4 linked regions of the Saccharomyces cerevisiae S288C genome follow. The gene in region 1 interacts genetically with each later gene. Each region holds a gene or a part of one and is shown on either strand. Other genes may lie near its edges.

The links.
Region 2: mutations in BUD32 (region 1) and TRP4 together harm fitness more than expected from each alone (negative genetic interaction), as found in Saccharomyces cerevisiae (3 studies listed by BioGRID).
Region 3: mutations in BUD32 (region 1) and SPA2 together harm fitness more than expected from each alone (negative genetic interaction), as found in Saccharomyces cerevisiae (3 studies listed by BioGRID).
Region 4: mutations in BUD32 (region 1) and YAP1801 together harm fitness more than expected from each alone (negative genetic interaction), as found in Saccharomyces cerevisiae (3 studies listed by BioGRID).

What each region holds. Positions count from the first base shown.
Region 1 is NC_001139.9:1,012,746-1,019,525, reverse strand, and holds BUD32 (serine/threonine protein kinase BUD32), read left to right. Parts: upstream 1-1,766; coding exon 1,767-2,552; downstream 2,553-6,780. Other genes in the region: SAY1 (steryl deacetylase), read left to right, coding at 285-1,559; APL6 (AP-3 complex subunit beta), read left to right, coding at 2,776-5,205; TNA1 (Tna1p), read right to left, coding at 5,437-6,780. UniProt on the Saccharomyces cerevisiae protein: Component of the EKC/KEOPS complex that is required for the formation of a threonylcarbamoyl group on adenosine at position 37 (t(6)A37) in tRNAs that read codons beginning with adenine.
Region 2 is NC_001136.10:1,178,966-1,186,389, reverse strand, and holds TRP4 (anthranilate phosphoribosyltransferase), read right to left. Parts: upstream 1,644-7,424; coding exon 501-1,643; downstream 1-500. Other genes in the region: SPC110 (Spc110p), read right to left, coding at 1-283; thioredoxin-disulfide reductase TRR1, read right to left, coding at 2,132-3,091; YPQ2 (Ypq2p), read right to left, coding at 3,636-4,589; SBE2 (Sbe2p), read right to left, coding at 5,130-7,424. UniProt on the Saccharomyces cerevisiae protein: Catalyzes the transfer of the phosphoribosyl group of 5-phosphorylribose-1-pyrophosphate (PRPP) to anthranilate to yield N-(5'-phosphoribosyl)-anthranilate (PRA), the second step in tryptophan biosynthesis.
Region 3 is NC_001144.5:98,012-108,561, forward strand, and holds SPA2 (Spa2p), read left to right. Parts: upstream 1-2,935; coding exon 2,936-7,336; downstream 7,337-10,550. Other genes in the region: nucleoporin POM33, read right to left, coding at 1-825; HIF1 (Hif1p), read right to left, coding at 1,033-2,190; serine/threonine protein kinase KNS1, read right to left, coding at 7,675-9,888. UniProt on the Saccharomyces cerevisiae protein: Involved in pheromone-induced morphogenesis and efficient mating, perhaps as a cytoskeletal protein.
Region 4 is NC_001140.6:418,470-426,270, reverse strand, and holds YAP1801 (Yap1801p), read left to right. Parts: upstream 1-3,984; coding exon 3,985-5,898; downstream 5,899-7,801. Other genes in the region: bifunctional ATP-dependent DNA helicase/ssDNA endodeoxyribonuclease DNA2, read left to right, coding at 1-1,661; 6-phosphogluconolactonase SOL3, read right to left, coding at 1,798-2,547; MPC2 (mitochondrial pyruvate carrier), read right to left, coding at 2,810-3,199; PEX18 (Pex18p), read left to right, coding at 6,199-7,050; TDA11 (Tda11p), read right to left, coding at 7,208-7,801. UniProt on the Saccharomyces cerevisiae protein: Involved in endocytosis and clathrin cage assembly.

The sequences.
Region 1 (6,780 bases):
ATATAGATTTTACTCTGATATAAAAACAAGTTTAAAAAACAATTCTCCCGCTAACACGTTTATACCCTTTCTTTTAGTTGAGTAATTGTGTAGTGTTAAGCTGAGAATATTCATGATTTGATTTCTGATAAATAACTTCTGCTTTATAATAACAAATGTTTAACGTGTTAGCGCCATAATTATATAGAATTGAGGGAAAAAGAAACTGAAAACCAAAAATACCCTGCGTCGCTTGAAATGAGAACAGCACAAATCAATTTTAAAGGAAAAGGTTTCAAAGAAGAATGGCAGCCAACTCTGGTCTCGACTCAAAAGTTGAATATTATCGGCTTCAAGAGAATGAAATTATTAGCGCTGTATCAAGTGAGGATGCAGATCAAAATGATGCGGGCTTTCGATTGAGTACCATCCATTTGCATTTGTTCCATGGATTGAAATTTGCCGCTCTATTGTTCACAGTGGTGCCTGTATTTATAATCCTCGACAGTATGAAGATCATTTTTCAACGCAAACGTAGGTTTTGCCTTGACCATGTCAACAGAAGTTTTTTAAGACAAAGTTCTTGGATCCTCGATGAACGCATCTGTCAATACGTGCTCAATCCTTTATTTGTTTGTTTATATCCTTCTACATTTTCTAGTCCAACATATGTCAAATGCAACATTCCTATAGAAGATCAGAAATCTCCAGAAAACAATATTTTCCAAGACCATCAATTAAACGCACCCAAAATAGTTAGCACAAAGTTTTATCAATATGTTATGCCGGAAGGATTTGACCCCACGACAGATCCAGTTTTAGTATTCTATCATGGGGGTGGTTATGCTCTTAAATTGACGCCTACGTCGTTTTCTTTCTTGAATAATATGCGAAATGCCTTTCCTAAAATGGCCATTCTTGTACCAGATTATACCGTTACAGCTACCGATGACCAGTCGAAAAAGTACCCTCTGCAAATTTTACAAAATGTGGCCATTTTTGATTACGTTGTTAAGACTATGGGGTGCAAAAATGTAGTGATTATGGGGGATTCTGCTGGTGGCAATGCTGTTTTGAACATTGTTTTATATTTAAGAAAGTGTCACAGAGAAATATACCCGAAAAAAGTCATAGCCATAAGTCCCTGGGCCAATGCCACTTTCTTCCACGAGGGAGAAAAGGAATATATGCAAGGAACACAAGAATGGGATGGTCTATGTTTGAAGAGTCATTCGATGTTTGGGCGAATGTTTGTAGGAAACAACCCAAACGTCGATTTTACCAGCGACCCTTTTGTTAATATTGAAAAGAATTTCGAAACTAAAATGTGGCAAGATATTCTGAAAAAGTGCTCTGTGATGATTACTTATGGTAGTGATGAGTTGTTGAGCTTTCAAAACAAGATCTTGGCAAAGAAAATGAGTGACGCTAGCGAGGGATGTAACCACTTTACCGCCAAAAATGTGCTGGTTGAACACCAAGGTTATCATACGGGCCCAATATTAAACTACTCTCGTAATATGGATCGCTGGACCAACATACCATCTATCGCTCGCATTCTTGAGTTTATGCAATCCTGAATTTGTCATAATGACAATTACATAACCCCTTTTATATACATAAATATTTGGGTCAGCACAAATTTATTTTGATTTTCCATTATTTTAGCAGCAACAAGGTTGAAAAAATCGCCGGCGCATCACCAACTTGAAGGACAAAGATAACCTTACTTGAAATCAAATAAGTGATGAATACGACAGCGGAAAAGGTTATACGCTTTGCTCATTATGACGCAAGAATTCATTGATAAAGTATCTTCCTACCTGACTCCTGATGTGGACATTGCACCTATTTCTCAAGGTGCAGAAGCCATTGTTTTCACAACGACTACTCACCCATATCTCCCAAGAGCAAAGGATTCTCATCAAAAGTATATTATCAAATATAGGCCACCAAAGCGTTATAGACATCCACAAATAGACCAGGCACTAACAAAACATCGTACGTTGAATGAGTCGCGTTTATTGGCCAAATTATACTTGATTCCAGGGCTATGTGTCCCTCAACTGATAGCGTGTGATCCATACAATGGATTCATTTGGTTAGAGTTCCTTGGAGAAGATCTTCCCGGAGGGCACGGTTTTAGTAACCTAAAGAACTTCCTTTGGATGCATGACCAAGATCCATATAGTGATCTTGTAGCAACTACACTACGGAAAGTGGGGCGCCAAATTGGGTTGTTGCACTGGAATGACTACTGTCATGGTGATTTGACAAGTTCTAACATTGTTCTCGTGCGAGATGGTGCGAGATGGACGCCTCATTTGATTGATTTCGGTCTGGGCTCAGTTTCAAACCTGGTCGAAGATAAAGGCGTCGATTTATACGTCTTAGAGAGAGCTATTTTAAGTACACATTCGAAGCATGCGGAAAAATACAATGCTTGGATCATGGAGGGGTTCGAAGAGGTCTATCGTGAACAAGGTGCGAAAGGTGCCAAGAAACTGAAAGAAGTTACCAAAAGATTCGAAGAGGTCAGGTTGCGTGGTCGTAAGAGAAGTATGCTAGGATAATATAAATGCTAGCGTACTGCCTGTATATCGCTGCACATAATATGTATCTATAATTTATATTAACGTACATAACTTTTAGGTATGTTACCATCAAAGCGTGTCCGAGTTATTGAGATTTTGACAAATTCAGACAAATCATTTTTGAAGAACCATATATATAAATATATAAAGAAAAGAAAGGTAAACCAAAGACAGCAAACAATCGAAAAGTGGACAACCAGCAATGGTAGATTCAATTCACCGTATTGCATCGGCGTTGGATACGGCCAAAGTAATAACGAGGGAAGCTGCCGCGGTAGCCACCTCTAAGCTGGGTGAATCCTCCTATACTTATTATTCTCAAAACATCAATCCTCAACAGTTAGTCACCTTGTTAAATTCTAGGAACTCTAGAGAAGTTAGAGATGCAATGAAGAGAATAATATCTATAATGGCTTCCGATGATGACTCTATTGACGTTCAATTATACTTTGCTGATGTTGTAAAGAATATCACCACTAATGACACCAAAGTGAAAAGACTTATTCACCTGTATTTACTTAGATTTGCAGAAAATGACCCAAACCTGACCCTGTTATCTATTAATTCTCTTCAAAAATCATTGTCTGATTCGAATTCCGAACTGAGATGCTTTGCTTTGAGTGCCCTTTCTGACATGAAAATGTCATCATTAGCACCTATAATTTTGCATACTGTCAAGAAATTGGTTACAGATCCATCTGCAATGGTTCGTGGTGAAGTCGCCTTGGCCATTATCAAATTATATAGGGCTGGAAAGAATGACTATCATGAAGAATTGTTGGATATTCTGAAAGAATTAATGGCAGATACAGATCCTAAGGTGATATCCTGTGCTGTCCTAGCTTACAAAGAATGTTATGCGGATCACTTGGAGCTATTGCATGGACATTTTCGCAGATATTGTAGAATAATTAAGCAACTAGATTCGTGGTCACAATCATATTTAATTGAGCTGCTAATCAAGTACTGTAAGCAGTATTTACCAAAACCAACTGTGGTCGATAAATCATCAGAAGGTTCCCCAAGGAGTTGTCCTTTACCAGATAAATACAACGAGATTGAATACCCATCTTACGAGGTGGTAAATGACCCTGATTTAGATTTATTTCTACAGAGTTTGAATTGCTTAATTTATAGTTCCAACCCTACAGTGATTTTATCGTGTTGCAATGCGCTATATCAGTTAGCTTCACCATTGCAGATGAAAAATACTAAATTTATTGAAGCATTGGTTAGAACGGTAACCATGACAGAAAACCAAGGTAACAAAGAAATGCTTTTACAAGCAATTCACTTCTTATCGATCTTAGACCAGACACTATTTTTACCCTACACCAAGAAATTTTACGTTTTCCCCAAAGATCCTATTGTGGCATCAATTTGGAAGATCCAAATTTTGTCCACGTTAATAAATGAATCAAACGTTAAAGAAATATTCAAAGAATTGAAATATTATGTTGCCAGTGCTCATTTCCCAGAAAATGTTGTTATTATGGCGGTTAAGTCATTATCTCGATGTGGCCAATTGTCAACGAGTTGGGAATCACATGTAATGAAGTGGTTAATTGATCATATGGAATCCCACAACCTCTCTGCTTCTGTCCTAGATGCATACGTGAATGTTATCAGGATGCTGGTGCAAAAAAATCCTACAAAACATCTTCGCATAATCTTCAAGCTTGCAGATTTATTAACAGTTCAAACGAGTTTGGCTGATAATGCTCGTGCAGGTATTGTTTGGTTATTTGGTGAAATTGCCTCGATTGAATTTAAGATATGTCCGGACGTTTTGAGGAGGCTAATCCAGAATTTTTCAAATGAGGGTCCTGAGACAAGATGTCAGATCTTAGTGTTATCAGCAAAACTGTTGTCATATGACATTGATAATTTTAAGCAAGCGCAAGTTACTGGAAGCGAAGAAAATAACCAAAATCCCCCATACTATGATTTTAGTGGTTCAAGAATCTCTCAAATGTACAATGCGGTCCTTTACTTGGCAAAATATGATGACGAATTTGATATTAGGGATAGAGCCAGGATGATTTCATCCTTGTTTGATTCAGGGAAATATGAAATTGTGTCACTACTATTACAAGCACCTAAACCTACGGCAAGAAGTGACGATTTTATCGTTTCTGCAAGATTGGAAACACATACCCCAGAAATAAAAGAATTTTTTAGAATGCTTCCTTGGAATACTGAAATTACTGAGGTTGGCGAGACAGGTAACGATATTAGAGAAGGCGCAGAATTGAAAGACTATAACAAATACAAAAAAAGTTTTTCATCGCAGTCTTTTATTACCAACAACTCAGCAAGATCTTTCACATCTAGCTCCAACGCAAAATTGACTGGGATCAATGACGGCGATAGCAATAGCATCTCAGGTAAAGGTAACGTAAACACCTTCACATCTCAAAACGGGAAGAAATATCGTTTGCAAAGCCTGGACGAGTTTTTTTCCGACATTCCAGAAAGGAAGAGTAAACCAAGGAAAATTATAAAGGTGGTGGAAGAAAGCAGTGACGAGGATGAAGACGAATCGGAAGAGAGCAGTGACGATGATGAGTATAGTGACTCTTCTTTGGGAACGTCTTCTTCGGGAACGTCTTCTTCGCATCTGGAGCTTTAGAACTCGGAGATAATACTATATAAATATGTATATTTATAGATATAGATATAGGCATGTATATCTTCCCAGTAATATACGTGTTTGGGACGAAAACAAAAGAGAAGTTGGTAAACAAAGTTTCATGTGAATTTGCTTAGTACAAAAATACATACAAATATAAAAGAAAAGTTACAAATTGCAAACACACTCATAACGAGGGGCAAAAAAAGTGGAGGGTGAAGAAAGTCAAGCCTAATACATGTACTTAAACTCAGGGTTTTTGTCGCTTAACCTTTCGTCGTATGGAATAGGCTCTCCCAATTCATTACAGCGATCTATTATTGCTTTCTTTTTATCGTTTTCCCTCTTGTATAGGAAAATTTGCACAACCGTCATAAATATGGAGAAGACTTGAAAGGCCAGACTAATCGACAGCCCTTTGATATATCTTGGCTTGTCTTTGGCAACAAAAATTTGACCAGAGACCAACCCTGAACCAGACCCGAAAAATAGATTAATTCCTAAAGCGGTGGCTCTCTTGAAGTAATTACCAGTGTTACCACTTAACCATAAACAGTTACAGGCAGCATTAACGTAAATACCCATACAAAGAATGTAAACGCCAAAATATCTCACACCATGAACTTGAGAACCAAGGACGATAGCTATGCCTATCGAAGTCGTCAGACAAGCACCCAGGATGAATGGAGATCTCAACTTTATACGATCAGACCAAACGGCACAAATGAAGAACACAATTGCTGTAAGGAAATAGATGGGCACGGTCATTAATTGAGCTCTGACATTAGTGAACCCCATACTGGTAATGATGATCGGCAAGAAGACTGTTAGACCAAAAGTAGTCAAATCGATACCGAATAATGCCACAGCACTAGCCCAAGTCTTGACATCCTTAACTGCTTGCCACACTTGGAACCATTCAAATTTTTCGTCCGGGTCAAAAGTGTTCATAGTCTTGTATCTTTCGGAAATGTACTCTTTTTCCTCCTTATTGAAAAACCACGAATCCTCCAAATTTTTGCTCAACCCGAAGGCATAGAATGGTACGAACCCCAAAGAGATACAACCTTCGACAATGTAAATGTATTGCCAGTCCTTTAGAGAACCGCTGATTTTGGAACAACCATAAGCAATCAGCCCACCAAAAGATGAAGACAAACAGGCTGCACTGAAGACAAAAGCGAACCTCAGAGCATATTGTTCTCTTCTATAGCAGACTGAAAGGTACATGTTAATAGCGGGATAAATCATACCTTCAAAGGCACCCAGTAGTAGTCTGACAACGATCAATTGAGCATAATTCTTAACCCAAGCAGTTCCGAGCGAAATAGCACCGAAACAGGTCAAACAGATACTCATCATTAATGGCGGACCCATAATTTTCAGAAGGTTAGTACCTATGGGGTCGAAAAGAACATACGTCGCGAAAAAAACTGTGACACATGTGTTATATTGCGTTCCTACAAGGTGGATATCCTTGGATAGACCTGCAACTTCTGCGTTACCAATATTCGATTTATCCAGGTTAGAAAGGAAATATAGCATCCCCATAAGAGGAATCAAGTATATATCCAT
Region 2 (7,424 bases), on another chromosome or scaffold:
CTGACCTTGGACTAGGCGGAATGTTAGCCTTAATTTCTGGAAAGCTGTCATCGAATTGTGAAGCTTCACTAAATAGCCTTGTGGAGTCAATTGTATCATCAATGCTTCTTCTCTGCCTTTTCTTAACAGGGCCTTCGTTCTCATCACCATTATTGGCATTTGGAACCTTAGTAGGCGATACAACTTGTGTTTGCGTGGTGTTTCGCTTGGATTTGATAAATCCTACAGGCGTAAATTCCATGTTCTTCAAGCTCCCATTTGGGAGATGTGACGCTTCGTCCATGAGTGTTTATCAGCCCTTTTTCGCTTTGTGTGGACTGTAACTAACGAAGTTGCTTAAGATATCCGCGCACATTGTATTTGTTCCACATCAACTTTTTGTTTATTTGTTTTCCTTCAAAATGAAGGATTAAAACTTATAACGCGTAATTAGGGTAATGTTCAGCTTAGTACAAATAAAACGTCTCTATCTAGTTTAAGTATAACATATGAAATAATGTCTACAAGGAGCTCACACTATCTATAAAGTGTTCTAAAGAACGTAATGCATTACCAGAATGTATGCTTTCTTCTGCCTTAATGATCCCTTCCTTCCAGTTCTGGTGACCTTGGCTTAAACAATATAACACGGCGGTGTTCATCAAGATGTAGTCATAAATAGGATTATTGTCGCCAAGGTGGTACTTGCCGGACAAGACTTCTTCTTTTAGAATTCTCGCATTCTCTTTAGGGCCGTATGAAGCACACTTCGACAACTCGTGTTCTTCTAAACCAAACATAGAAGGTTCTAATTGGAAGGTCTTCAATTTAAGTTCGGACGATGTCGGATCAATATGCCAGACAGTAGTTTTGCCTATAGGTGATACTTCGTCTAACCCAACATGTCCCCAAACTATAAAAGTTTCGCTTCCTGGATATACCAAAGCGGCTGCCTTGGCATATTCAGGCGCAAGTTCCTTTGAGTAAACGCCCAATATTCTCTTGTTTACGTGGCTAACTGGATGTAGAAGTGGTCCCAGTACGTTGAAAACAGTCGGAATTCCAAGAAATTTGCGTATCTTAGAAACGTGGCCCATTCCATGATGAAAAAAAGGAGCAAGTAGAAACATGAACGTATTATCAGGCCAAAGTTTGGGCACTGTCGATGAATTAACCTTGAACATGTCACAGCCTAAAGTTCCAATTAGGTCACCAGCTCCACTATTGGATGTAGAAGCTTTACCACCGTGCTTACAAATTTTTAGGCCCTGAATTCCGGAGGCAACGATAGCAGCAGACGTGGAAACATTAAAAGTATTCTGTCCGTCACCACCAGTACCTACAATATCTAAGATTACTGGTCCATCTTCCGGGTGTAATTCGTCCTTCTTGGGTAAAGGTAGATCAACAAGGTCGGAATGTCTGAGCACAGCCTTTGCAGCTTCCGCAATGTATTCAGCCTTGTGATCAAGTTTAGTAACTCTCAAGGCCGTGAGAAAACTCGAAACTTTGGTATAGATGGAAAGACTCTCATCGCTATTTGTATCACATTTTTGCAAAAGACTTAATATAACCAGCAACGCATCGTGTAGGTCTGTGCTACTCAATTGCGGCGGAGAAGCCAATAATTTCTTGGTGTAAGATAGCAAAGTCGCCTCGGACATGATAAGGGAATACTAAGTTTTCTTGTGATTATTGCAGTTTAAATTCACTTAGTTGTCAGTAGCTGTAATATCAGATGCTTTATTATAAAGTTTTCCAGAAGAATGAATGCAACAGAGTTTATGTTTACTGAATTGTCTGGTCATGAATCATTTTTTAGAGAGTCAATCTGCGTAGGTTTTTTTTTCCTTTTGGCAAAGACGACAAGAAAAATGCAGGTGGGGAAGCGCAGCAATAATATTAGTCATAACTTAATAGTCGGTGTATAGGCAACCACGCGTTACAAAGTAAGCCGATGGCCTATGTCATGTGTCTAAAAAGTTTAATTCAGACACGCAATATATGTAGATTATGTATTGGCTTTCTCTAATAATGGGGAAAAGAAATAAAATTCATGGTTTGCTTTTTATTAAAGAAAAGGAGAAAGTAACGATTTGTTGGATAAGTATACAAAAATTTGAGTGTATCTATTTTATAATGGAAAATTCATCTATTCTAGGGAAGTTAAGTATTTCTCAGCATCCAAAGCGGCCATACAACCAGAGCCAGCAGAAGTAATAGCTTGTCTGTATTTAGAATCCTGAACATCACCAGCAGCGAAAAATCCTGGAACGGAGGTTAATGAGCTGCCTGGGACAGTTTTAATGTAGCCCGCTTCATCAGTGTCGACTTGGCCAGCGACAATCTTTGTTGCTGGAGTGTGGCCAATTGCATAAAATAAACCGCTGACTGGCAAATCGGTTTCTTCATTCTTTTTAGTGTTCTTAATCCTCAAGGCATTCAATAATTTACCATCCCCCTTAGCTTCTAGCGCAACAGTGTTGTAAAGGATTTCAATTTTTTCGTTCTTCTCAGCACGCTTTTGCATAATGGTAGAAGCACGCAAATGGTCTTTTCTGACAAGCATAAACACTTTTGAGCCGTACTTGGTCAAGAACTGAGCTTCTTCACATGCAGAGTCACCACCACCAATGACGGCCAATGGCTTGTTTCTGAAAATGGGGACGGCACCATCACACACGGCACAGGCAGAAATACCTTTTTGCCAGTAGGTTTCCTCGCCCGGCAAATGCATTCTCTTAGCAGAAGCGCCTGTGGCCAAGATTATAGCGTCAGTCGTCACAGGTTCTGCGTCTTCGTTAAATTCGGTCCATAGCTTGAATGGTTTGGAAGACAGATCAACTTTGGAAACTGTTTCCGTGATAATTTCAGTGCCAAACTTCGTGGATTGTTCTCTCATTCTGTCCATCAGTTCGCTACCTGTTAGACCATCTGGGAAACCTGGGAAGTTTTCGATTTCTGTAGTGGTGGTTAGCTGGCCACCGGCAGCAATACCGTTCGCCATCATACCTTCATATAGGATTGGCTTGATTTCTGCCCTGGCCAAATAGATGGCGGCGGTGTGTGCAGCTGGACCTGAACCAATGATAGTAACTTTGTTGTGAACCATTATTGATAATATGATGTTTACTTTCGTACTGTTCGCTATTTGCTGTATAGCACTTGTAGGCAAGTATAACTGAACTACAGAAATTAATCTACAAGCTCTTGAAACCTCGAGCAGTTGGGTCCACTCTTATACGCGTGGGCATTTTTTCCTTTTTCGAGATACTTGCGGGCGATTTTTTTTCTCCATGACTAAGGAGAAGCTAACCCAGCCAAAACCCGCCCCCAAATGGCTAGGCAAAGTGAAAGATTATTAATCCAGAACAGAATGAAACACTTACTGCCGTACTGTATACTGAAGCGTTCACAGTGAATACATAATAACTTTCATTATTAATATTAGTGTGACAAACTATATGTGTTTGTAGCTGTTGCGAATGCAAACAAGACATAGACGGTTTTACGTAAAACTGGCGCTAACTATAGTTGGGTACTTTTACACAGAGTACGAACGTAGTATTCCTATTGGGAAAAAAGGGTCTCGCAAGGACTATCCCAAGAGCAGAGTGCATTGTTTAAATATAAATGGTAGTACTCCGTAGGGAAAACTATGTTTGCGTTTCACCAGACAACAGTGATGTACGTTCTGTCACTAGTTGCGCTGCACTGTCTTCTTCAGGACTGTATAGTTCTCTTTCCAGTTCACGTAGTTGCATATCAGTTGCATAAAGGATATAGTATTGGTAGAAGTATATCAAATCAAACGCAATTGTTCCAGCACTTCCAAATATAAAGGGCAACTCATTCACGATGAATTCCCTCTTGTTCTGATTATCTAAAAATCTACAGCTTGTGAAGATGCTCAAATTATACGTGATATTGCAGAGTAGTGTAGTAGCAAATAGGAAGGGAGATAAGCCGTCTGTAGACTTTCTATTGTAATTCTTGATTAGTTGTGGGATACGTGCGCCTACGTAGAAGGAAGCGCCAATCCAAGATAAAATTGTACCCAGCTGGCTGTTTTTACCATCTCCGGGAGGCCCCACTTGTGATTGGGTGGAGCCTACATTTAGCGGATATGCGCTAGCTGTACTTATAGTATGAGCTATAGCCAAGGCTGCTGTAATGGCAGACCTTCTTCTACTGCTTCTAGGGCTTTCTGCACTGCTACCACCTTGTATCATGTCCTCTTCCTCCCTCAAAAGCTCACCATTTTCAACCAGTTCGGGAAGAAGAGGTTTAGGCTCATGGCCGACAGTCGCCAATTTATTTTCATGCAGCACGCCATAGTAATAATATTGACCACATACAAAAGAATCATTCAATAGAAAATAAATTGCTAAAAGTATCTGAAATAACAATTGCCCTGTTAGCTTTGCCCCTATCAGCGAGGTAATATCCCCACATAACCAAGCCAGCAAAAAATATGGCGATAGCCCATCGACAGATTTATCTCGATAAGTCTCAATTATTTGTGGAAACAATGAAATAACAGAGGTGAAGAAGGATAATGATCCGCACAAATTAGATACAGTAGGCCAGATGCCGTTTGAGCACGACATGAAAAGATTCTTATTTTCACTTTATAATTTTTAGCACCGATAACAACGAACCTTATCGATTGATATCAATAGATACTGGCTTAAGGTAATGAAAAGATTGCTTCTTTATTTGTCTTTGTTGGAGACGAATATTAATGCCTGCAAAAAGTACTTGACGTTTATGTGCACGTTTACGTTTGTTTTTTTTTGATCCCTCCTCAAGCGAAGAGATATACTAAAAGATATACTTAGTGATAACACTGGTACCTATTGTCACTACAAATCACTGAGCGAAATCTTTTTTCTTCGCGAACAATTTCTTCCATGCTGCGAAATTTTGCAGCACGTAAGTGAATGCCGTAGAAGCTAGCAAAAAAAAATGGTGATGAAAAGGTTAATAACAAAACACAATAAGGGCATTAGTTCATTGTTTATTAAAAATATATTATTATATTAATCGAAAGTAATTTCTGTATGTATGCATTTATAAGTTTCAGAGTGAAAATGAACTTAAGAAGAGATAGTCTGGTCACCAAACTTTTAGTACGTGCCACATACACGCTAACGTAATTTTCGGTAGTAGTGCAACCACCACTTTGTGAAAATATTATTGAGGTTTTCCTCTTCGATACTATCCTCCGTATACAGTGGAATACAAAAATGCTTATCATCCAAATCTGATAAATGTTTCAGATTATCATATCCGAAGTGGTAGTTTAACAATACGTTAACTGTTAGTGAAACCAAAATCTTATAATTTACAATAACCTTCTTAGATCTATAGTATTCCCATACTTTGTCTTTGAATATTTCCATTTTTACGGGGTAGTTTGCAAAGTTTTGGCCATTATGAACGATAATTACATCCATTACCCACATAAAAAGTTTATGGTCCATTCTTTGCAATATGTTCCACCATGTATTGCTATTCAAACATCCGCCATTGAATTCATTTTTGAACTCATCTTTTCGTAAAAGATGGGCAACAATTCCTCTGGGATTTAATATTCTTGAATCGTATTTTTCCTTGCAAATTTCACTGAAGCACGTCATCTGTATCAAGTTGACCATTTCCCATGTTTCCTTCAAAGTCCCAAAAGATTGATCAGTTAAAAAATGGTAGAATAGCATCTCATCACCAGTAACCAAACCTTGTTGAGATATAGATTTCAGTTGCAGTAATAGCATCAAGTCAGAAACCACTTGCTTATCTGTTCCATTTTTATAAAAAACCTTTTCCTGTACATCGTGTTCAATAAGCTGTCTTATTTCAAATTCTTTATCTTTGGGAAAATCCATTTTGTTGAGTAGCTGCATTACTTCCTCAAATGATTCAATAAAACATTTTGTTATCAAGCAATTGTCACTTTGTAGAAGTTGACTATATATTTGAAGCCGTACTTTAGATATCAAAGGTGTTTCCCAAATAATTTTCTTTAATTCACTTAATGACGAGTTACGAGTAATGCCTCGGTCCAGTAAATGCTGGAATTTGACCTTATTCTGCTCATTCTTTTTGGCTTTTTCGTCACGTTCTTTATTTTTTTGCAACTCTTCCATTGATGCTAAGTCGATATTTTTGTAGATTTGTTTATCTTGCAATTTCCTCTCTTTGAAATCCTTGGGCGGGAGCCAACTCGGACGGAAATGACTTACGGCCTTTAGTTTGTCCTCTGAAACTAGCATTAGGTCTTCCATTCCCTGACTACTGGCTTCTTTAAATTCCAGTGGTAAACTCTGTACAGATCTTGAACGACCAGAAAGAATACTTTTGGAGATTTTTTCGGAACTATGCAGGTATATTTGGGAGAGATTTTTCATTGTATCCTGGATGTACTGTGAATCAGACACAGGAGATATACCAGGAATGCATGTTGGCGGAAGCTCCTTATAGTCCAGACATGATTCTTTTAAAGTGTTACTTGAATTTGATGTATGTTTTCTAGTACTATGAACCTGATGGAAAGTTTTGTCCACACAGAGAGCCGAAGATGAGTGTTGTTTGCCTTCGCAATTGTTCTCCTGTATTAATATCTCTTCATCCCCCCGCGCTGAATCTAAACTCATTTCTTTTCTATTAAACTTAGATAATGTTAAAAAAGAACTGGTCGATAAAGATGCCATTGGAATGTTCCAAATTAACGAGCCGTCGACATCGCCCTCTTGAAGTTCCAAGTTAACGTCTTGATCTTCATAAAATTTTTCTTTCATTTTTATGGCTTTACGCAAAGATTGGTCATTTTGCTCTTTCCTTAAACGGTAACGTTGAGAAGGAGTAAGTTGGGTTGTTTTATATGGTAATATTACAGAAGTACTATTGGAATGCACATACGGCGTTTTTGTGATCGGCATGAGTTTTGGTTCTTGGATAGTTGCGGTACTCATGCAATGATGTTTAAGAGGAGAGTCATTCTCGCTTATGAATGAAGTTTGTGATGCGGCTATACTGTTGGTTGTATTGCTCGATCCAGGCAGCCCTACTGTCCTGGAGAGTTTAGGAGTTGACACCGAATTTTGACGAGATGGAATGCATGTAGTTATGGTACTCATTGAGCAGATTGTTTTATCAGCGCTACTTGCTGTACGTGTTTTCTGTAGTATTGATCCCGGTCGGCTTTTCTTTAAGGGCGTAATATTGCTTCTATGGTCAGCTTCTCTCATACTTTTGAAGAAGCAGTTATCCTCCATCTTACTGTTTGCTATTTCACCCTCTTCTGAGCTTATATCTGATGTACATAAAGAATCAGATGTCGTATTTGAGTGCGATGAAGAAAATATCTCTGTGCTCGATGTACCTATAGAATCATCTGATATTGGCCTAATGCACTTCGCTGTGGGTACGTGTGGATTATTATT
Region 3 (10,550 bases), on another chromosome or scaffold:
GGTCACTTGTGGGGCACCGCTTAAGCGGTACTCAGACAAGCGGATCAAGCTCATTTTAATTGCATTATAAGCTCTTTTGACGAATGGTGGGATAGATGGGTGGCTTATGATCCCGTCCATTCTAACTCTCCATTGAGCAAAGGCGGCTTTCATGTACTTGGAGTTTTCGTATCTTAACTTAATAAAGATGGCGTACACAACAAGTATGATCCAAGACCTTTGGAAGCACAGAATGGCTCTGAAAAGGACCAAAATGAAAATAAGCAGCTCAGCAGTACCGACCCAGTGCATGCACAAGTCATTGTACTGAACAACAAACTTGTCGATGAAGCTGAGGATCTTACTTGAATCTTTACTGGAAAGGTGGAAGACTTTTGGTAAGAGAACTTTTTCAACGTAGATTAAAACATGGAATACAGCAAACGCGAAAAATGGGATTAAGCTGAATGAAAATCTTGGAGTGAACAACCAGAAGTTGGCCAAAACCAAATAAAGCACGTCTTCACTCTTTAGGAGTCCAGCAACGCGTGATTTTATGGAAGCCTTAGTGGCAGCGGCATCTTGAGTCTGCAATGGTTCATTGCGGGTGAAAAATTGCTGGTAAATGATGATACCGAAAGATTCGATGACACCGAGATATGCCGATCTGTAATAAAATTCTGACATCTTGAGCAGGTAAAGAATGGAGCTGATCAATACGACGGAATGACCGGTAAACCATGCAAACTGCAAGCTCTTGGCTACTGCCATGAACCTTTGCACGAGCGACTTATCTCTGGCAGGGAGGTTTGGGGGGCCTTGGTTATTAGCGGGTCTTGATGACATTATACTGACTATTCTTGGCTAGTGTTTCTTGCTCCTTATGAATAGAGAAAAATGACTTTTTTTAGATGTAGTAAGTATGTCATTTCAGGGATGGTCTGCTTGCTCTTTAAATATTTTTTCACCCTTTTAAAATGGGGCCCTTTCGCCGTACCAAAGAAGGAGAAATATACATTACGTATGTAGGTTGCTACATTTTACACAAAACTATCAATGCCTTCTAGGCTTCTTCTTGACCAGTTGAGAGAGATCATTGAAGTCACCAAGGGGCTTTTCGAGGGCGGGGAAGCCGATGGAGGTCGTGGGCTGCGAAAGAGGCCTCTTGGAGCCGTGCTGCTGATTTTCTTGCACCTCATCAATATCGTCTTGAATCTGTGCGAGCCTTGCCTGCTGTAACTCGCTGTCCTTGGGTCTTGTAGTCATGTGTTTTTCAAGCAGAGCCTTGGCATGCTTGAATCTTTTTAGTTTGTCCTTAGCCGGCACCTGATCAACCCACCTTAAAGCATCACACACCAAAAATTCTGCTTGTATCACCTTCTCAGTTACTTGTTCTGCGGGTTTCAAGGTCTTGTAATAGCCAAGCGCCTTCAAGTAATGATGAATGGCTCTACTGAACATCTCCGCCTCCCTTTCGATGTCACCCATCAGGATATACACATCACCGATGCGCAATCTGCTGTTCTCGGTTAGAGATTGGCCATCTGCTGTAGGGCGGCCCAACAGCATCAAGGCCTGCGCCAGTAGGTCCAAAGCATTCTCATACAGATCATTTTCAAAGTAAATGTGGAAACCAGACTTGCGAAGTTGCGATACGTCTTCAATTTCATCGTCATGTTCATTCGCTGGACTGAAGTTAGCCAATTCGTGCAAAGCTAAGCGTTCTTCCTCTTTCTCCACGTTTTCTTCCTCTTCTTCGCTACCTTCGCCACTGTCCTCACTATCACCACTGTCGACATCACCAGTCAAGTCTTCCTCTTCTTGGTCGAATTGGAACATCCTAGAATTAGGAATTTCTGTTTGACCGTTCTCGTTCCCCTCTTCTCCATTGCTCACATCAGACTCAGGCTCAGACTCAGACTCAGACCCAGATCCATCGTCACCTGCCAGAAGAGCGTCCCCAAACAGATTACCAGAATTCTGTACTTCCATGTTGTATACAGCTTGTGCGAATATAGTAAACAGTTCAGGATCAGGCAACAAACCATCTTTTGGGAGAGAGTCCAAAGTTTGTTGGCAGCGTTTAGCAGCTTCTAAGAACTTTTTCTGTGCGAGTAAATCTTTTGCAATTTGAACCTGTCTTTCCATATCAATTTGAACTTTATGTCTGCTAGTTCCGTTTGCCAACACGTCTTCTGCCCTTAGTTTCATATTCTGTTACTTCTAGAAGGAGACCTCATCGCCGATGTTACCTCAAAATTGAGTAGAATGAAATAATACAAAATTGGAAAAAACGCGAAACTTCAGTGCAGTAACATATCGTTCCGACATTCTCTGAGAAGTGGTAAGATTCCACTGCCGGGGAGCTACGAGTGCTCTTGCAAGTTTTTAGACACTGCTATATCCTTCGACTACGTAACCCCATTTTTTTATTTTTCTATATAAAAACATGCACTGTATACATATAATCACGTAAGTTCAAGTCGTGCTTAAAACGGGCACAGAAAACTAACTATGAGTTGCCGTACCATACATAAACTAGGAGAAGGTAGCGCAGTTCTTTTTTTTTACCAAAGGTTTGCACAAAAAAGATGGTCTAACGTAAGTAAGTTATCAATAAAACTGTTAAAAGTAGTATAAGAATCTTGAGATAGGCTTATTATTATGACTTTTTATGGCGGAAAAGGAAGAAGAAATACTGCGCCGGGTGATGCGTGACGCGTTTTTGGAAACGATGAGAATAAACTTTGAAGTATTTTGAGAATAATATTCTATTATCGAGTTCTTTCAGCAGAAAGCAACACATAGCTACGTATAGTTCGGTAAGATAAATTTGGTCAGAAGCGTGTGAAAGACGCTGAGAAACCACGTGAGACGAAGATTCAAATCAAGGCGTGAGGAATAACGCAATACGAGCCACCGAAACAGAATAAACAAAAGAAAAGAAAGAGTAAACATGGGTACGTCAAGCGAGGTTTCTCTCGCACATCATAGAGATATCTTCCATTACTACGTCTCACTGAAGACTTTTTTCGAGGTGACTGGCGAAAATCGTGACAGGTCAAATTCGACACGAGCTCAAAAGGCCAGAGCCAAGCTGTTGAAGCTATCTTCTTCGCAATTTTACGAGCTGAGTACAGACGTGTCCGATGAGCTGCAGAGGAGAATCGGTGAAGATGCTAACCAACCAGATTACCTTTTGCCGAAGGCAAATTTCCACATGAAAAGGAACCAGGCTAGACAGAAACTGGCCAATCTATCACAAACTCGATTTAATGATTTGTTGGACGATATCCTTTTTGAGATCAAGAGAAGAGGGTTCGACAAGGATTTGGATGCTCCACGGCCCCCATTACCGCAGCCGATGAAACAAGAGGTCAGCAAAGACAGCGATGATACTGCAAGAACATCCACAAATTCTTCCTCTGTGACTCAAGTAGCTCCAAACGTCTCCGTACAACCTTCTTTGGTCATTCCTAAGATGGCATCTATCGATTGGTCTTCTGAGGAAGAAGAAGAGGAGCAAGTAAAGGAGAAGCCAAATGAACCGGAGGGAAAACAAACAAGCATGGATGAAAAGAAAGAGGCTAAACCTGCTCTAAACCCCATAGTTACAGATTCTGATCTGCCTGACTCCCAAGTGCTCGCTCGTGATATCACATCAATGGCAAGGACTCCAACAACGACGCATAAAAATTACTGGGACGTTAATGATTCTCCAATTATCAAGGTAGATAAAGATATCGATAACGAAAAGGGTCCCGAACAGTTGAAGAGCCCTGAAGTACAACGGGCTGAGAACAATAACCCTAACTCAGAGATGGAAGACAAGGTTAAAGAACTGACTGATTTAAACAGCGACTTACATTTGCAAATTGAAGATTTGAATGCTAAGTTAGCATCTTTAACCAGCGAGAAGGAAAAGGAGAAGAAGGAAGAGAAGGAGGAAAAAGAAAAGGAAAAGAACTTAAAGATTAACTACACCATTGATGAAAGTTTTCAGAAAGAATTGCTGTCATTAAACTCTCAAATCGGTGAATTATCAATTGAGAATGAAAATTTGAAGCAGAAAATTTCAGAATTCGAACTGCATCAAAAAAAGAATGACAACCATAATGATTTGAAAATCACTGACGGTTTTATTAGCAAGTACTCTTCTGCCGATGGGCTCATTCCAGCTCAATACATCTTAAACGCTAACAACTTGATAATTCAATTTACTACTAGGCTTTCCGCAGTACCCATAGGCGACTCCACGGCAATTTCCCATCAAATTGGCGAAGAGTTATTTCAAATATTATCCCAGTTATCGAACCTAATCTCCCAGCTATTACTATCGGCCGACCTATTACAGTACAAAGATCAGGTCATTTTACTGAAGGCATCATTATCGCATGCGATCACATCGATAAGATATTTCTCTGTTTACGGTCCCGTATTAATTCCGAAAATAACTGTGCAAGCTGCTGTTTCAGAGGTTTGTTTTGCCATGTGTAATCTAATTGATTCAGCGAAAATAAAATCCGATTCAAATGGTGAGAGCACCACCTCTAATGAAGGTAACCGACAGGTATTAGAATATTCTTCACCAACTGCTACCACCCCAATGACGCCAACTTTCCCCTCGACTTCTGGAATAAATATGAAGAAGGGGTTTATAAACCCAAGAAAACCAGCATCTTTCTTGAATGATGTGGAGGAAGAAGAATCTCCAGTCAAGCCATTGAAAATTACACAAAAGGCAATTAACAGTCCGATCATAAGACCGTCATCGTCTAATGGAGTTCCAACAACCTCAAGAAAACCTTCAGGAACGGGGCTATTTAGTTTAATGATTGATTCATCAATTGCTAAGAATAGCTCCCATAAAGAGGATAATGATAAATATGTCTCGCCCATAAAGGCAGTAACATCGGCCTCCAATTCTGCAAGTAGCAATATTTCCGAAATTCCTAAACTAACACTACCTCCACAAGCCAAAATCGGTACTGTTATTCCACCGTCAGAGAATCAAGTTCCCAATATTAAAATCGAGAATACAGAAGAGGATAATAAAAGGAGTGACATAACAAATGAAATCTCTGTTAAACCAACTTCTAGCATTGCTGATAAACTGAAACAATTTGAGCAAAGTTCCGAAAAGAAATCATCACCAAAGGAAAATCCTATAGCAAAAGAAGAAATGGATTCAAAACCAAAACTATCCAATAAATTTATCACTTCAATGAATGATGTGTCCACAGATGATTCAAGCTCTGATGGTAACGAAAATGACGATGCAGACGATGATGATGATTTTACCTATATGGCATTGAAACAAACAATGAAGAGAGAAGGTTCAAAAATTGAAAAAAATAATGACAGCAAACTACCTGCAAATATAGTGGAACTTGATTTACATGAGTCACCGGAGTCCGTGAAGATTGAATCTCCTGAATCGATAAAGGAAATCACGTCATCTGAAATGTCTTCAGAAATGCCAAGTAGTTCGCTGCCTAAGAGATTAGTAGAGGATGTTGAGCCTTCAGAAATGCCAGAGAAGGGCGCATCTGTAGAATCAGTCAGGAAGAAAAATTTTCAAGAACCACTTGGTAATGTCGAATCTCCGGATATGACGCAGAAGGTCAAGTCTTTGGGTATGACAGGAAAGGCTGTAGGCCCAGAATCAGATAGTAGGGTCGAATCTCCGGGCATGACAGGACAGATTAAATCTTTGAATATGGCAGGAAAAGTTGTAGGCCCAGAAGCAGATAGTAGGGTCGAATCTCCGGGCATGAAAGAGCAGATTAAGTCTTTGGGTATGACAGGAAAAATTACAGCTCAAGAATCAATCAAGTCCCCGGAAGCGGCTAGGAAGTTGGCGTCATCAGGAGAAGTTGACAAAATTGAATCTCCAAGAATGGTAAGGGAAAGCGAGTCCTTGGAGGCAGTAGGCAATACTATCCCCTCAAACATGACAGTGAAAATGGAATCCCCAAATTTAAAGGGAAATACTGTGTCTGAACCTCAAGAAATAAGGAGAGACATTGCCTCCTCAGAGCCGATAGAGAATGTTGACCCCCCAAAAGTACTAAAAAAGATTGTCTTTCCAAAGGCTGTTAATAGAACTGGATCACCAAAATCAGTCGAAAAGACTCCATCTTCAGCTACACTGAAAAAGAGCGGGCTCCCAGAACCGAATAGCCAAATTGTTTCTCCTGAATTGGCAAAAAATTCACCTCTAGCACCGATAAAGAAAAATGTCGAGTTACGAGAAACTAATAAACCACATACTGAGACTATCACTTCTGTGGAACCAACAAACAAGGATGCCAATACTTCTTGGAGAGACGCCGACTTAAACCGTACGATCAAACGAGAGGAGGAGGACGAAGATTTTGATAGAGTGAACCACAATATCCAGATCACTGGTGCATATACGAAAACTGGAAAAATTGATTATCATAAAATACCTGTTGATCGTAAAGCAAAAAGCGAAGCAGAAGTGCATACTTCCGAGGAAGATATTGATGAATCAAATAATGTTAATGGAAAAAGAGCTGATGCCCAAATACACATCACTGAAAGAAAGCATGCTTTCGTAAATCCAACTGAAAATTCACAGGTAAAAAAGACGAGCCACTCACCATTTTTAAACAGTAAACCGGTTCAATACGAGAACTCAGAGTCGAACGGCGGCATTAACAACCACATAAAGATAAAAAATACTGGAGAAACTACGGCACATGACGAGAAACATTATAGTGATGATGATGATTCTAGCTATCAATTTGTTCCCATGAAACATGAAGAACAAGAACAAGAACAAAACAGAAGTGAGGAAGAGGAAAGTGAAGATGACGATGAAGAGGAAGAAGACAGTGATTTTGATGTGGATACATTTGACATTGAAAATCCGGATAATACACTATCAGAGTTACTATTGTATTTAGAACATCAAACAATGGACGTCATATCCACGATTCAATCGCTTTTGACATCGATCAAGAAACCACAGGTGACGAAGGGTAATTTGAGGGGAGAATCGAATGCAATCAACCAAGTCATAGGTCAAATGGTGGACGCTACTAGCATATCAATGGAGCAAAGCAGAAATGCCAATTTGAAGAAACACGGTGATTGGGTGGTGCAAAGTCTAAGAGACTGTTCGCGTAGAATGACAATTTTGTGCCAATTAACTGGCGATGGAATACTAGCGAAGGAAAAGAGCGATCAAGATTATGCTGACAAAAACTTCAAACAGCGGTTGGCAGGGATTGCGTTTGATGTTGCCAAATGTACAAAGGAGCTGGTAAAAACTGTAGAAGAGGCAAGTTTGAAGGACGAAATAAATTATTTGAATTCGAAGTTGAAGTAAAGTTAGTAGTATCTAGAGGAGAAAGAAAAGGAAGACAAAGACAATCAATAGAATGTATTATGTATGACATATAATAATAATAATTATAATAATAATAATAATAGTAGTAGCAGTAATAATAATATTATTATAGTATATTAAAACAACAAAAAATTAGTAAAAATACTATAAATGTTTGAATATGAAGATATATATGTAGGAAGAATTTTTATTGAATATAGAAATTTAAAGAAATATTATTAAAAACCGGAAAATGAAAAAGAAGAGTTAAAAAAAAAAAAAACGGAACTAGTAAAAGATGTGAAAAAAAGAAGAGAAAAGTAGAACGAGAACACCCACTATCCTTGGGTATTATTATAAGTTGCAATACCATCATCCAGTATGCCCAGATTAAACCATTCATGGTCCAGAGCGTCCTTTGCGGTAATCCTTTTTGTTGGGTCGAACTCAAACATTTTCCTGAGTAGATCGATGAACCAGTACCAAAACAAGAAAGTTTCCTTATCGAGTTCATCAGTAGTTGAGGAAGAAGAGGAATGTGTTTGTCTTTTCCATGCCAATTTCGAATTTATCAAAGACCAGTTTTTCTCCGGCGGTAGATTCCAATTGATGCTTAAGCTATCGCCGTAATCCTGTTTCAAGACCTTTGAGATGTAAATATCTAAGCGATCACATGACTGCAAGACCCTTTTCATTGACTTTTCGGTGGTTATGGTATCTCCGCGTTTATTTTTTTCAGGCCATTGTAAGCTTAAAGTTTTTCTGTCGAAATGCTTTATCACCGTTGAATTTAGGTCTGATGGAGAGTTGCCCAATTTATGTTTAGATTTGTAAAACATCTTATCAATAATGTCTGTGGGGAAAGGGGTTCCATTGATTCGTTGCATCATAGCCATATGTTCTAGATTTTCATGAATGGGGTAAAGAGATTCGCCAATAACCAGTTCTACTAGGACACACGCGATGGACCAAATGTCGCAGGGGAACGACCAGCCCAAGCCAAGGACAATTTCCGGGGCTCTATAGTGACGAGTGGATATTACAGGAGGATGATATTCGTAATGGAAAATTGCGCTACCGAAATCAATGATTTTGATTTCTGGATTTTTCAAGATTTTGCGCTTCCCCTTACTGGCTTCACGGCGTCTCTTGCTTAGCGACTGTACGGTTTTCAAAGGCAATTTTTGAGCAATATGGGTTTCGTCACAAATCAGGATATTTTCTGGTTTCAAATCCGTGTGTATTATGCCCAAATCGTGCAAGAAGCAGACAGATCTGATTAGCTGTCTGGCAATGGCCTGAATATGAGAGCCGGGGAACCTGGCAATGCCGTTGGAGCACATAAAATCGTAAATGGACCTGCCGTATAGATCTGTCACCAAACAAATGTGATTTTTGTAATCGAAGCACTCCCTTAGCAAGAGGCACTGGAACTGACCTTGAGGGTCATTATTCAGGATAGTCTGTAGAATTCTTAGTTCTGTTTTGGCGGCTTCTCTATATCTATCTACAGCCCTTATCACTTTTACAGCCACGTAATTAGGTTCATACTTGTTATCGATGCATTTAAGTACTTTACCAAACGTGCCTTGGCCCAATAGGTCCTTCACAACAAAGCGGCCGCCACTGCCAAATATGTCGTTTTCCTGGTAAACGTAGTGACCGTCTTTGTCCGTTTTGAAATTTGATTTATTGGATGATGCGCTTTCTGAAGAGCCGTTTGATGTAAATTTCCGTAGTGAAGAACCAATTTGTTTCTTGAGGTTGGATTGAGGCAGGGAAGCTATTTGTGCTGGTGGGTTGGAAAAGGGAGAAGTGCTGTGAGCAATCGTGAGATTCACTGCCTTGTTGCCCTCCAGAGTCTTTGCACACGACCCCGTTAGATGCAACAGCTCATTTTCAGTTTGCGTTACTCTTGGCACGATAGCGTTGGTTTGATCAGGAACATTAAAATAGTTCGATTGGTAGCTCAGCTTCGATAGAGGCAACTGAGGCAGTGAGATGGTTCTTTGCTTCTTGAATTTCTTTGGTGTCGTGATATACGTACTATTGCTTGTAGCTGCGGTACCGCACCCTGGATTATTTGAAGTAACAATATTATTGTTGTTATTGATACTGCTGCTACTAGGCAGAATCAAAGGTGACGAAAACTGAATTGGCTGCTCTTTGATAAAAATGATGTCATCGTCAGCATCCTCGTCCACTCGACTACTGTTATGATTATTACTGTTATTGATTGTGGTGTTAATGATACGCGGCTCCTCGTCTAGTTCTATGGCATTTTCATTGTCCAAGAACAACTGGTGTTGGTGTTGCCGAGGACGGAGCGGATTGTCTGCTTGATTCAGGTCTAGACTGTTCCTCAGATTGTCTGTTAGAAAAGAATTTTGCCGAGCAAACATCTCGTCCAGCAGCTTGTTTGTGCGCGTTTCTTCGAAATTATCCAAAAAGGTCTTGTTAGAGCTTGTATTGTTAGCAGGGCCCGTAGTAGTGGAATTATTCATATTTGCTCTTGAACGTTTTCTAGTGCCAATTTGAATATTCTGTGACATAACTAAGGTACGCGGAAGATAAAGCAATAATGAAGAAGAGCAGTATGCGTGTAGATTAGTCTTTGTTGTGCTAAATCTTCGACTTGGTAAATACTATGTTTCTTTCACTCTTTTTCTGTCTCCCACTTTGTTTCCTTTTTCTTTTTCTTTTTTTTTTTTGGGTTTGCTTGCTATCTGGCGCAGTATTTCGTGAATATAATATCTATTTAGTTAGCGTAAGCACGAGGAGTTACTGCACTGTTTCCTTTCACTTGGTGGTGAGGTAACAATACTTTGTAAATCCGGTAGATCTGGGAAGTAAATACTAAACTTTATTCTAATATAGGAACTTCATAATATAAAATCCAACGCACGATGCTAGAGATAAAAAAAGAGGGTGGGAGATGTGGAGCCAGGATTCAAATCGAAAATCGTAATCGGAAACTAAACCAGCATTGCAACCGGGCCATAAGCCATATCGTTAAGCACGCCAAAGCTTTTTCCCTTCGCTGTGTGTTTCCTCGCAACTTTAACTCCGGCCACTCACTAAGCCAAGGCGTGAGGAGAGAGACTAAAGCTTTGTGGAAAACCGCCCAATCACGCTGACCCCTTTGGCCCGTTTGCCGCCCCCTAGAAAAAAAAGAAACGGACGGGCCTGGGCCCGCACAGCCTCGAGCAGGGTC
Region 4 (7,801 bases), on another chromosome or scaffold:
TCGACAAAAATGATATCCAACAGAGTTTGTCTTTAGCGCGATTTAATCTTTTAAGCTTGTTTTTACCAGCTGTTTCACCTGGCGTGGATATTGTTGACGAAAGGAGTAAATTATGTCGGAAGACAAAGAGATCTGATGGAGGTAATGAAATACTGCGATCACTTTTAGTTGATAATAGAGCACCTAAGTTTAGAGATGCAAATGATGATCCCGTCATTCCGTATAAGCTTTCAAAGGATACAACATTGAACTTGAATCAAAAAGAAGCAATAGACAAAGTAATGAGGGCCGAAGATTATGCATTGATATTGGGAATGCCAGGGACTGGTAAGACTACTGTTATCGCAGAAATTATTAAAATTCTCGTTTCCGAGGGGAAACGCGTGCTTTTGACATCATACACACATTCAGCAGTGGATAATATTTTAATAAAATTGAGGAACACCAACATTAGCATAATGAGATTGGGAATGAAACATAAGGTCCATCCTGACACGCAAAAATATGTCCCGAATTACGCGTCAGTGAAAAGTTATAACGATTATTTGTCCAAAATTAACAGCACCTCTGTTGTTGCTACCACCTGCTTAGGAATTAACGATATACTATTTACACTAAATGAAAAGGATTTTGATTATGTGATTTTGGACGAGGCAAGTCAAATTTCAATGCCTGTCGCTTTGGGACCTCTGCGGTATGGAAATAGGTTTATTATGGTAGGAGATCATTACCAGCTACCGCCATTAGTTAAAAATGACGCAGCTCGATTAGGTGGGTTAGAAGAGTCACTGTTCAAGACTTTCTGTGAAAAGCATCCGGAAAGCGTTGCAGAACTGACTTTACAGTACCGTATGTGCGGCGATATTGTAACTTTGTCTAATTTCCTAATTTATGATAATAAATTAAAATGCGGGAATAACGAAGTTTTTGCTCAATCTTTAGAGTTACCAATGCCTGAGGCCTTGTCGCGCTATAGGAATGAATCGGCTAACTCTAAGCAGTGGCTTGAGGATATACTAGAGCCTACAAGAAAAGTGGTATTTTTAAATTACGATAACTGCCCGGATATTATCGAACAAAGCGAAAAGGATAACATTACGAATCACGGGGAGGCAGAATTGACTCTACAATGTGTGGAAGGAATGTTATTGAGCGGCGTACCATGCGAAGATATTGGTGTAATGACGTTATACAGAGCACAGTTAAGATTACTGAAGAAGATATTCAACAAAAATGTGTATGACGGGCTAGAGATCTTGACTGCTGATCAGTTTCAAGGTCGTGACAAAAAGTGCATTATTATTTCCATGGTTAGAAGAAATTCTCAATTAAATGGAGGAGCGCTGCTGAAAGAGCTAAGAAGAGTCAATGTTGCCATGACAAGGGCCAAATCCAAGCTGATCATTATAGGTTCAAAAAGTACAATCGGCTCTGTTCCTGAAATAAAATCGTTCGTGAACCTGTTAGAAGAGCGTAATTGGGTCTATACAATGTGCAAGGATGCACTCTACAAATACAAATTTCCCGACAGATCAAACGCTATTGATGAGGCACGCAAAGGTTGTGGAAAAAGAACAGGTGCCAAACCCATCACATCAAAGTCTAAATTCGTAAGCGATAAACCTATCATAAAGGAAATTCTACAAGAGTATGAAAGTTGACAGGGGGAATAAGAAGAGCTTCTCCATAACAGGAAAGCTATCACAGCATAAAATATCTATGTCATTTTATAAAGTTTGGTATATATAACACGTAATATTAGCATCTGAGGTTCGAAAGCTCGCATGTGTGTCTTTTCTAAAAAGTTTTCGTTTGAACTTTTCCAAAAGCTTCCTCATTAACGAACCAGGATGTTTTTTCACCAAATAATTTGTTAACCAATGCGGTTGGCAATTGATCGTTTTTCAAGTCAAAGATCTCATGCATTATATTTTGTTTGGAACTGCCCTCAGCCACAAAACACAGGGCTTTGGCGTCTTTCAACACAGGCAGAGTGAAGGTGATTCTGTCACTTGGAGGCTTGGGAGAATCGTGGCACCAAGCAACTCTTTTGGTTGTTTCGTTCAGCAAGTACCTATGTGTTTCTCCAGGGAATAAGGAACAAGTGTGTCCATCAGGACCACAGCCCAACAGTACCAAATCAAGCACTTGAGGTACGATACGCTCGTACTCTGCAGCAATTTTGTTGTTAGATTCAGCATCGCTGCCAATCAAGGACTCGTCCATGGGATAAACGTTTGGCTGACTAGTCGAGGGTAATTTATCTAGAACAGCTCTCTTGAAGGCACCATAATTGCTGTCAGCGTCCGTCAGTGGCACAATTCTTTCATCAGAGAAGTAGATTTGCCATTTAGACCATTGCACTCGAGAAGATAGTGATTCGTCCGCTACTAAACTTTCATACAGAGCATCGATCAAAGAGCCACCGCTAACGGAAACTTTAAAGTCTGACTTCTTTTGCAGCGCCTCATCTTGTTTCTTGACGATGAATTCCCCCAATTGATGGGTCAAACTAGCCCTCTCAGAAAACACACCGACTGTCACCATTTGGTCGCGGACCAGGGGTAAAGCAATTGATGGTGCATTGCCTTCTATTATCCTCGAGGCCTTTCCTCTTTATATAATATACCACTATTACCATTGTCGGGGATAAAAAGGTAAGAAAAAAACGGAAAAATGCAAAAGAGCAAATTATAACACCGCGCAAAGAAAATATACTTTACTATTTTATGAATATTATACAATCCGGATATATATGCTTACGTACATATCTTTGACAAAGCAAAGTTTCGAGTTGTAAATTCGGCGTTTATCTGCCCGTAGTAATTTCCTTTTTGCTTTCGTCGGCGCCGCTGAGAATATAGCTACACAATTGCGATATAGAGTCGCCATTCCGTATCCTGTAGTTGGCAATTCTACCCAATTGATAGCCAGCGGTCAGACAAAGAAACGAGTTGACAGAAGCCAACAAGATGTTTCTTGGCTTGATGACAAAGGACCAACGAGTCCAAATCAGCGCAGTAGATAGCAGCGACAAATTTTGAGCACCAGAAATTTTTTCCACCGGTCTCTTCATATCGCTGAATCCAGCGAAAACCAGACCCCATTTCAAAGTAGGAGCCCAGAAATGCACCGTCTTGGGGCCTGTCTCACTTTGCCAGAACCGCCTAAATGCAAAACGTACGGATGATGTAGACATTTTTCTTTTCTTTAATCTTTTTCTGTATAACTTCGTTTATATAATTCGTGTGTCAATTTTCTGATATAGTGAGTGATAATTCTCGACAATACGTTCTTTCGAATGAACTAATGGTTTGCCGTCTATTTCAGTTTCCTATTGCAGTCAGCGATGTCAACGATGTGCGTATCAAACTTTACTGTTTTCCTCGAGGAAAAACCTTTGTGCTTCTTTTCTCTCGGACTTTTTCTTCTTTCTTATTATATACTCAACGCTTTTCTTTTTCTTCTTTTTTTTTCCATCCTAGTCATGCGCGCAATAGGAAAGCGCACGAAACAAATGAGTAATTCGTAGGAAACAATGCAGCCCCCAGGGTCAGCAACTGACGTGACTCAGCCTGGCTTTTGTAGAAAAAGATGACGCCCTGGCAGAGAGGTGGGGGAATTGAGGGGTCCTCGCTACCCACCTTAAGTATGGAAGAATATGATGAAGAATATGATGATAACTCTTGGAAGCGAGCGGCGGGTTCCATCACTTTTTACGGATTGGTAACACAGGGGCCTCAGTTCGATACTTGGTATTCAGGCTTCCAGCGTTGGTGAGTTTAGTTAGCGGTATGGTATGCACATGGTGTTGATGCTTGGTGGTAATCATTCGTTAGGTGAATTGAGCAGTAGCGATATTAGATATATTTAGTATTTTATAGCGTCTTTTTGGTGGGGGAGGAAGGACAAAACCTGTCTCGTAAATATAAAGGGACTGTTCGATATCGCAGATACTAGAGTATAAATTTCGATTGAGGCGAGATGACAACATATTTCAAGTTGGTAAAAGGTGCTACCAAGATCAAGTCAGCCCCGCCCAAACAGAAGTATCTGGATCCGATACTGTTGGGGACCAGCAATGAAGAGGATTTCTATGAGATCGTGAAGGGTTTGGATTCCCGAATTAATGACACGGCGTGGACTATTGTGTATAAATCGCTGTTGGTGGTTCATTTGATGATAAGGGAGGGTTCCAAAGATGTTGCATTGCGGTACTACTCTAGGAACCTGGAGTTTTTTGACATTGAAAACATACGTGGCTCCAATGGCAGTGCGTCTGGAGACATGAGGGCACTTGATAGATACGATAATTATCTGAAGGTGAGATGCAGGGAGTTTGGTAAAATCAAAAAGGACTATGTGAGAGACGGCTATCGAACACTGAAGCTGAACAGTGGCAATTACGGAAGCTCCAGAAACAAGCAACACTCTATCAATATAGCACTAGATCATGTGGAGTCCCTAGAGGTACAAATACAAGCCCTGATTAAAAACAAGTATACACAATATGATTTGAGTAACGAATTGATCATATTTGGTTTCAAGCTGCTTATTCAAGACCTGCTAGCGCTATATAATGCTCTCAACGAAGGTATCATAACTCTGCTGGAGTCTTTTTTCGAACTATCTCATCATAATGCAGAGAGAACTCTAGACCTGTACAAGACGTTTGTTGATTTGACCGAGCACGTTGTCAGGTACTTGAAGAGCGGGAAGACTGCGGGCTTGAAAATACCCGTCATCAAGCATATCACTACCAAACTGGTCAGATCGCTAGAAGAACATCTGATAGAGGATGATAAGACGCACAACACTTTTGTGCCCGTTGACAGTTCTCAAGGAAGTGCTGGGGCCGTAGTAGCCAAATCTACTGCACAGGAAAGGTTGGAGCAAATCCGGGAACAAAAAAGGATACTAGAGGCACAATTGAAAAACGAACAAGTAGCGATTTCCCCTGCTCTAACTACTGTCACGGCGGCTCAATCTTACAACCCGTTTGGAACAGACTCTTCTATGCATACTAACATTCCAATGGCTGTGGCTAATCAAACGCAACAGATCGCAAATAACCCATTTGTATCTCAAACTCAGCCACAGGTGATGAATACACCAACCGCTCATACAGAGCCCGCAAATTTAAACGTTCCTGAATATGCAGCGGTCCAACACACAGTGAACTTCAACCCTGTACAAGATGCTGGCGTAAGTGCCCAACAAACGGGGTACTATTCGATTAACAACCATTTAACACCCACATTTACAGGTGCAGGGTTTGGAGGATACTCCGTTTCACAGGATACAACTGCCGCTTCTAATCAACAAGTCTCTCATTCACAAACTGGTTCTAACAACCCGTTCGCATTGCACAACGCCGCGACGATCGCAACAGGGAATCCTGCACACGAAAATGTCTTAAATAACCCATTTTCACGACCAAACTTTGATGAACAAAATACCAATATGCCGCTACAACAACAGATAATAAGTAACCCTTTTCAAAACCAAACGTACAATCAACAACAATTTCAACAACAAAAAATGCCTTTGAGCTCGATCAATAGCGTTATGACAACCCCTACTAGCATGCAGGGATCGATGAATATTCCTCAGCGTTTTGATAAAATGGAATTTCAGGCTCACTACACTCAGAATCATCTCCAACAACAGCAACAACAGCAACAGCAACAACAGCAACAGCAACAACAGCAACCACAACAGGGTTATTATGTGCCTGCAACTGCAGGAGCCAACCCTGTTACAAATATAACTGGGACAGTTCAACCTCAAAATTTCCCTTTCTATCCACAACAGCAACCACAACCGGAACAGTCTCAAACACAGCAACCAGTTTTAGGAAACCAATATGCTAACAACCTCAATTTAATTGATATGTAATATCTAGTATAATCAGGTATGTAAGGGAGTACTCAAGTGCATCTTTGGATAGCTATATATAGTTGTAAGGAAGAGCTATGTAATTTTTGCCATTTTGTACATATTTTGCATTTGTCCTATAGTATGTAATACTTACATCTTACTGTCTTCAATTCCTCCCGCCAACAAAAGATTTCGATAGCGCCGCACCATGGAGTTTATATTGTTATTTCCGAGACGACCTATATAAGGGAAAAGACGAAAACTGGGTATTTGATACTTGTCTAAACTTCAATGGACAAATGATATAAAATACAAACAATGAATAGTAACCGATGCCAAACGAATGAGGTGAATAAATTTATTAGTAGTACAGAAAAGGGGCCTTTTACGGGCAGGGACAATACGCTCTCTTTTAACAAAATCGGGAGCAGACTGAATTCACCACCGATTCTGAAGGATAAAATTGAGCTGAAATTTCTACAACACTCAGAAGATTTGAATCAATCACGGTCCTACGTAAATATTCGTCCTAGAACCTTAGAGGATCAAAGTTACAAATTTGAAGCGCCAAATCTAAATGACAATGAAACTTCTTGGGCCAAGGATTTTAGATATAACTTCCCTAAGAATGTTGAACCGCCCATCGAAAATCAAATCGCGAATCTTAATATAAACAACGGGCTACGGACATCTCAGACAGATTTTCCCTTAGGCTTTTATTCACAGAAAAACTTTAACATTGCTTCCTTCCCTGTGGTTGACCATCAGATATTCAAGACAACAGGTTTAGAACATCCTATCAACAGCCACATTGATTCTTTAATTAATGCTGAATTTTCGGAACTGGAAGCCAGTAGTTTGGAAGAAGATGTCCATACAGAAGAGGAAAATTCAGGTACGAGTCTGGAAGATGAAGAAACTGCCATGAAAGGTTTGGCTTCCGATATAATTGAGTTTTGCGATAATAATAGTGCCAATAAAGATGTAAAAGAAAGACTAAACAGTTCAAAGTTTATGGGGCTGATGGGCAGCATTAGTGATGGTTCTATAGTTTTAAAGAAGGATAACGGTACAGAAAGAAACCTTCAAAAACACGTAGGTTTTTGTTTTCAGAATTCAGGAAACTGGGCTGGTCTTGAGTTCCATGATGTTGAAGACAGAATTGCTTAACGGGCCTTGAAATTTCTTTAATTTAAACCATGAATTTCAGATATATAACACTTTTTAACCACTTTCAAGAGAAAACAGTATTAAATTACATACTGCGTTCACAGCTATACGTAAAAAGAGTGACAAGTGAAGAATAAACGTCATTTTGAAAAAGGAATTAGAAGTCTGTCATTTCAACTGAGTTTTTGACGGAGGAATTATCATTATCGGGTTCTCCAATAAAACTTAGCTTGTTACTACTTCTTTTACTTTTTTTTTCTCGTGTTCGATGTCCACTTTCATCTGTGAGACTATTATTCCCAGCATTGTCTTTCTGGAACTTAGTTGTCGTTTTAAATTTCCTCATGTTTAAACTAGAATCGTCGCCACTATCTTCTGCTTGCCCCCGGTTCGTAATTTTATGTGTACTTTTTTTCTGTTCATGCTGTCTATCGCTTTTATATACAGGATCACATCTGTTATCAGTAATAACATCATTATCGTTTTCTTCTTCTATACCGAGTAATCCGGCCTTGACATCGCTAACAAAGCTCCAAAGCGACCTGGAGACTGATCCTTGCGAAGGAGATTTTTGGCGAGCTCCAGGTGCTTCATTATCGTACTGTTGCGCGGACGACTCGCTATTACTAGTCGGTGTCCCTTCCTGTACCTCAGGCGTACCTGAAAGAGAGTCATCCCAATTCAGAGTTCTTTCAATTTCATGCTGAATGATTTTATCAAACTGATTAAACAGAGCTAATGGTTTGCTCCA